2 linked regions of the Coturnix japonica genome follow. The protein of the gene in region 2 purifies or fractionates together with the protein of the main gene of each other region. This does not show direct contact. Links are inferred from orthologs where the notes say so. Each region holds a gene or a part of one and is shown on either strand. Other genes may lie near its edges. The genes, in order: RMND5A and GID8.

Evidence for each region.
Region 1: the proteins of GID8 (region 2) and RMND5A purify together in Homo sapiens (affinity purification with mass spectrometry; 5 studies listed by BioGRID and IntAct, counting the BioPlex papers as one, with this or other methods). This does not show direct contact. The link is inferred for Coturnix japonica from reciprocal best matches to the Homo sapiens genes GID8 and RMND5A.

The regions. Positions count from the first base shown.
Region 1 is NC_029519.1:77,632,599-77,636,424, reverse strand, and holds part of RMND5A (E3 ubiquitin-protein transferase RMND5A), read right to left. Parts: intron 3,061-3,826; exon of another isoform or gene 2,786-3,060; coding exon of another isoform or gene 2,755-2,785; intron 1,917-2,754; coding exon 1,774-1,916; intron 1-1,773.
Region 2 is NC_029535.1:7,559,644-7,562,648, reverse strand, and holds part of GID8 (glucose-induced degradation protein 8 homolog), read right to left. Parts: intron 2,990-3,005; coding exon 2,793-2,989; intron 2,298-2,792; coding exon 2,100-2,297; intron 1,773-2,099; coding exon 1,599-1,772; 3' UTR 1-1,598. UniProt on the Homo sapiens protein: Core component of the CTLH E3 ubiquitin-protein ligase complex that selectively accepts ubiquitin from UBE2H and mediates ubiquitination and subsequent proteasomal degradation of the transcription factor HBP1.

The sequences.
Region 1 (3,826 bases), on a different chromosome or scaffold from region 2:
GAATCAATTTGCGACATCAATTACAGTTAATTACTGCTATTAGTTTCAGCTTAAGTATATTATAGGGAAGCAATGTGGAGAAGGCAATTTCAGTAGTTTTTGAGCACGTTTTCCAGCAGCATGGAGAAAATGCACTGAACATACATGGAAAGTTCCCTTCAGGTGTTACTGTCCAGGGTTTAAACTTTGCACTTTCATTTGACAAACATGCTGGGATTTCAGGATATACCTTCAAGTAGCAGTGAGAAGTGATAAATCCAAACTACTTGAATGCTGAACAGCTCCTATCTAAGGAGATAATCCTCACTGGTGCCCAGTAACGTGTCCTCAGCTCCCAGCAGGACAGGGGACACGTGCAGTTTCCACTGGAAGCCTTTTGTTGAAAACATTATAGACATGTAGCAAGAGCGAGAATCCAGGGGAACAAGCAGGTCACACAGTGCAAGTTGAGCTCTGTATGGAACAGCCCTCTGAAACAGCTTTTCTGACCCCTTACAGGCACACAGTAGATCACTGCATCCCTTCCTGCTGTTTATAAAACCAAGCACTTCAAATTTAACAAATGCTTTCATTTATAGCCGTTCTTTTTAAAATGAAACCAGTAGACAGAATGCTAAGACAGCAACATCGCTGTCAGAACTATGCACAAGACAAAGCAGCAGCAATTTGAATATCAGACTCAAGTCTCAACTTTATTAAGCTTGTATTCATTGTCTCCGTTGGCCTCTAAGAAATATTGCCACTAATTTCCATGGCAGATTTACACCCTTTATACAAGACCAAGGGCTGCTGTACCTCAGACTATTGAAATGAAAAAGGTACACCCAAATCTGAAAGCTTTTAATACACAGTCCACATGGTAAGGCAGAATAGGAAAGTTTCAAACAGAGGACAAGATTACATAGATTTATTTCAGGCTTCACACCAGTAATAAGGATGGAATTTTACTCTAGTTAATAGGTTTAGATGCAGCAGCAAGGATTAGAAGAGGCAGATGCACCCTTAAGCTTTGGATAACAGTGATGCTTGGATTAAAGCTATTAGTACAAAGTTTGAGCTCTCCATGATGGTCAATCATAAGCAAAACAATCCCAACAGCTGCACAGACGTTCTGCCCTACAATGCAGCACTATGCACTTCATCAGCTTGTTGTGTTACTGTTAAATGATGCTTTAATAGCTTACCACTACTAACAAAGTTGAAATGAGATACTCAAATGATGAATTAGTGCCCTGTAATGACACAAGTGTTTCTGTCCAGCTGAAAAGTTGTTTTTAATGAAAGTAGAATAAATTCAACCACAACGTTGTGAAATTAAGCCCTAAGAACCGATGACACATCTGATATATGTAAGGATGTCTGTCTCAAATTCTCTCAGCTTCTAAGCTGCCTTCAAGAACAGAATACTACTTCCTGGTCATTTGCCGTGGACAATTAATCAGAACTGAAACACACATCTATAAATAATACTCCTTATCAAGACTATTGTTGAGGCAAACATTTTGCTATGCAGATATAATACTTTCTGTTACCAGGTCTGGACCTCCATGCCACGTTCTCTTGTTAATGACAGATTCGAGCTGCTCCAAAATGAAGCACTCTGTATAGGAGTTCTGAAGTGCTGCTGCACACCCTATGCTCTTATGTCTACCTCCAACCCTACACTGCTGCAGCTGAAAGGAAGACTAAAGATGAACTGATCACAGTTCTGTGAGAGAGTATCTGTGATCACGGAATACATGCAGTAACACCATCAAGCCACAGTACACATACCTTATCAATGGCTTTTCCAACTCGGGATACACTGCTGTGAATGTCTTTGTGATCAGAGGCCAGTTTTTGAACTGTGTCCTTTATTCTTTTACAACACTGCGTCATAACAAGTGAAATTGTCCCTGACAAGTCTCCATCTTGATCTAAACGCAAAAGAGAGGAAAATTACCAACTCTGTTAGAAAGAAACAACTTAAATGACTCAACATGCAACATCATAAAGACAAGAGGTATTAAAAGAAAGAAATATGATTAGGAAGCATTGGTGAAGCTTAAATTAAGTAAAACACACAGGACATGGCTCAGCCCACGAGGAAACCAGTGTGGTACAGAAATAACACTCGGTAAGTGCAGCACTTTAAAAAGTAACATAAATATCTTGTGCATCCTACTTGAGTTCAGCAGATTAATAAACAGGTCTCCAAGAAACACCCCCAAACACACATAACAGGAAACTGACTCTAAACTGCTACAGGATCAGTTCCCTTCTAAACCTCTCCCTGAAGACACATCGGAGCACTGTGTTTAAAGTCAACAATGTGACAGCAAAGTTTGAATTAATGAGGTCCCAATTCACTCTCAACCTCAAACTACCTCCTTACTCCATAAGGTGTCAGCCTGCATTTGAGCTGTGCAAAACGTTTGCATCCTGAGCAGTGGGAACAGCCCCAAATAGTGCCATCAGTCTCAGCCTCTCCTTGAGGGATGCAAAATAACCCATAAAGGCCCTGAGTGTAGACATCAGGGTTCTAAGAACGAGTGGATGGTCAGGTAGGATTTATCTCTAGCAGTACAACGTTAAGCTCACCCAACAGTGCAGTGCTGTATGACCCGTGCTGGGGGCAATATAAATATGCAATGCTCACAACCCCCTTACCGTCTCCTCTCACCTAATTCACATCCCTCCTGCCACAACCAACAACAGCGTTAAAAGCATCCTTCTGTGCTTTACTGCTTTTGGTTTCTAACTTGCCAGCCTTACCTCTGCATGTCTCTCCTCTCTCTAACTTCATTCTACTTGAAGATGGATCCTTTTAGGCACACACACTCAGCACTTCAGCTCTACTGAAGGCTACTTTAAATAGACCAGCCCAGAAATGCTTTCTAACATCCCAGATCCAAACAATTCACGTGGAAAATAAAAACCCAAACCATTTCTCTGAAGATTTTAAAAAGCAAATCACTTCTTTCATCAAGTTTGTTCCCTTCTCATTCTGTACTTCAGCAGGTTTCTGGTTCGAGTGACACCTTAAGAGATCAGTTCCAATGCTGGCAAGCTGAGAACAATAGAAACAAACAGTAACTATTACAATGCACGCTTAACAATGTGCCTTGGAGAGGGCAAAGGAAACCCAGCTCACAAAGAACCATTCAGCAGCCCTTACTCTTAACGCCTTCTCTTATGCATCCCAACTTTCAACTCTGCTATTGGCATCAACAGCAGAAACAAGCTTATGTTGTTACATACTACAATTGATCACCCCTAGGTAAGTAAATAACTCCACACCCCCCATGCACCAAGTTTCTTTCTCTGGTTCCATGAAGACAATGTTAAGCTCTGACAGAGCTCTTCGTTTTTCCTATTGAGGATGGAAACAGTCCCTTGAGTGGACAGTCACCAATTTGGCTCAACACATCTCTTACCTTCAATAATAACCATTAGTTCTGTTACTGTTTACTTCTTGTGACAGGCATTTTAAACTTACATAAAGGATTAAGTAACTTTCTGGTGCCTTCTCCCAGGAAGTCGGATTATACCACAACCGAAACATAAGTGCTCGTTCCCCAAATCTGCCTCACCCAACAAACAGAGAAGATCAAACACATTAATTGCCTTTTTTTTTCCTAGAAAAGCCATTAAGCTAAAAGCCAAACAACTTATACACACACTACCTTTCTACCCCAAGCAAATAAGTGGATTATTGTCCCCTAACAGCAGAAACGCCATCAAATGTATATGAGGAAAAGATTTCTCCCCCTACACACATCTCTTTCTGCTTTAATTAAGCTCATGATTATTTGCAATAAATCAGCAGAAGAGAGCCTGCAGACAG
Region 2 (3,005 bases):
TAGCTGCTTAACAAATAATGGATTCCCCTCACAAAAAAAATTGCTACACAAGTAAACAGTGTTCACAGTAATGCAATCAGTAACAGGGTTTGTTTTTGTTTTTTTAAGTTTCCATAAGTCAGGTGTATCTGCAAAGCTTTATACAGTTTAATGCGTAAGTATTCCAGTAAAATTAAGTGAAAACTAAGTTTAATTCTACAGGGTAATATCTACCATACAAGACTAGATTATGTACAGTATGGGACTGGTATGACAACTGCCAGTGCATCGTGATGTTCAGCTACCTCACCCACCAGATCGGTCTTTGTTCAACAAATCGTTAATAACTTGATATACAGACCTATAAACCTACAGACTGATTTGGCAAGATTAGTGCTACCACTGGATATATACCAGTGAACAGTGCTGCAAAATTAAGTTGACCTGAACATCCCATACCCACAAGATTACAATTTGTTGACTTGAAAGTCTGGACTTCACACGTAAAACATTAAAACTAGAATCCTAACTGGAGTGAGGGCGGGCAGTAAACAAAGTAATACAGGTGGAGATGAACTGTATCTCTTCAGAAAGGTATGGAAAGAATCGAAAAAAGTTGACATTTCAGCCTTTAAAGACAGCCCTGCTCTGCTCAGCTCAAGGCATAAAAACAGCCCAAGTAGCTCTAAAACTACAATTCTTATTCAGCGTGAGTAAAGGCAGATCCTGCACAAGAAGATGCATCAGAGGCTTCCATAAGTATCTCTCCCCCCACTTCATTGCCTAACACAAGTATGTCTTTCAGCTTACAAAAATCCGGTGGCCCTCCAAGCTCTACTAACCTGCTGGAATCACTGCAGTGTCTGCAGCTGCAAACTCTACATGGAAGGGAAAGGTCCCCTTTAAGAAAAACTCTCAAATGCCTCTGAGGGCCATTTTGGTCATTCATGAAAATTAAGAAAAAAAACTTATTTCCAACAATACTTCTCATGAAAAGATGGGTCACCGATCCATTACGAACATAGCTCTCACCATATAAAGCACCAAAAAGTCAGAAACAAGGAAAAAAAAAAGTTCTTAAATTAAGATTTACAAGTTTGTACACTATTTCCTAGGCAAAAGGTTGACCTTACTGCAAAGTTTATAGGTGAAAACATGACCAGTTACTCTTAAGGGGAATGTATATCTTGCTATAACTTAAAGGTAGAAAATATTCACTGTTCTATATACACATTTCAAACAGGAGACAGTTTAACTTAACTGAATAATTGCCAATGTAACTCCGTATTAACTCACTGACCACTCAACTAAGCATCAGTAGCCAATTAGAAAGCTTGAGTTCTGTACTTTTAAAAACGTGATTTTTTCCTGTCCTGTTTAATTGGTTTTCTTTTAAAAATGTATTATAGTGCATAGCCTAAGTCAGACTTTCAAAGAGATACAGCGCCTTTCAATGCAGTTTTTGCAGCATTCAAAAGGGACTTTTCTCCCTTCAAATTAGATGTTCATTGAAAAATCTGAATTGAGTGCTGTACTGTAGTAAAAATATTTCAGTCACAGACTGATATAAATGTATACTGTGCAGTACTATGATTGTTTGATGTCCATCTGCACACATTTTACTTGGGTTCTTCAATTGTCCCCTTGCTGAGGTCTGTCATTTTGGGGTATTTCACTTTCTTCTGGTCTAGCTCGTTCTGAGCCCACAGTAGTAGTTTCAGTAATTTTGCCAACTTGGGCGTCGATTCACGATTTTCATAGTCTAGAACAGCTTGATTAACCTCACTCCATACCTGGAAAAGAAATACTGGAGTTTAGTAACAGTTTGCCTATGATTAACACTTTGTAATGTTACAGAGACATTGATAACATCACACACAGCTTGTTAACTCCTCAGAATGAGGCCAGGACAAAGCTCCATATACCAACAGCCTAGAGAAACAAAGAAGAAAGTCAAACAGCCTATTATTGGCATCATCAGGTTTTAGAATGCTGCTTAAGAAATACTTCTGCTCTTTTGCACAGAGCTATACACATTTCCATATATTTCAAAAATATTTGGACACGGTTTTCACCACACACAAATAAAATACATCGACTTCCTTATGAGCAAATTCTACCTTCTGTCGCTGCATCATGTTCAGCAAGTCTCCAAATGGTGATTCTTCAGGATTATCAAAGGCAAGCAAAGCCAGCGTGCGCTCCATTTCTGTCAGGCATTCCCGGCTCTCCTCGCCTTGTTCTGCTAATTGGGTCTGAGCAAATTCCAGAGCTGCTTCTGTCTCACGCTGCCGAATCAGTTCAATCAAATGCTGCTGCTACATACAAAAAAAAACCACAGTGATATTAGCTAAACAAAGCAGCAAATCTCCAGTATTTCGAGACCATAATCTTCTGTCATTTGTATGTAATTTGAGACAAATACTAATCCATACCATGAAAGCTTAAGGTCATTTCTAAACATCTAAGAAGTAACAGATTTGCCAACAAGATTTACTAGTAAAGGCAGTCTGAGGTTTCCAAATAACACGTTTTGAAAATGTGTTTCTAAAGGAACCACCAGAAATCCAGATTAATAGTTGGTAAATCACAGATCATTCCCACTGTTAAAAGTTTCCAACTTACTAATTAACATGATATGACAGTTGTTGTACCATGCCACAGATCTTCCCATAACTATTAAATGATATCAAAAACGAACATTTGAAACTGCAATTATGTTCAGCCACAAATCCCTTAACATACTCTTAAACTCACACTTCTTCCAGAGTTTCTTAACAACTTCTAAAACAAAAACGGCCACTTGTCCTTACCTGCAAATGAAAGTAGAGATATCTGTTTGTATCTAACAGTTCTGGATGGAGGCTGTTTATTAATGAAATGGCTTCTTGAATCTGTCCTTTCAGAATCATTTCTCTGATTTTTATTCTTTCATCGAGAGTCTCTAAATCAACGCTGGGTTCAATTCCAGACTCCATTCGAAATTTCTCTGCTGCTTCTTTAAAGCCCTCTGAAATAAAAACGTT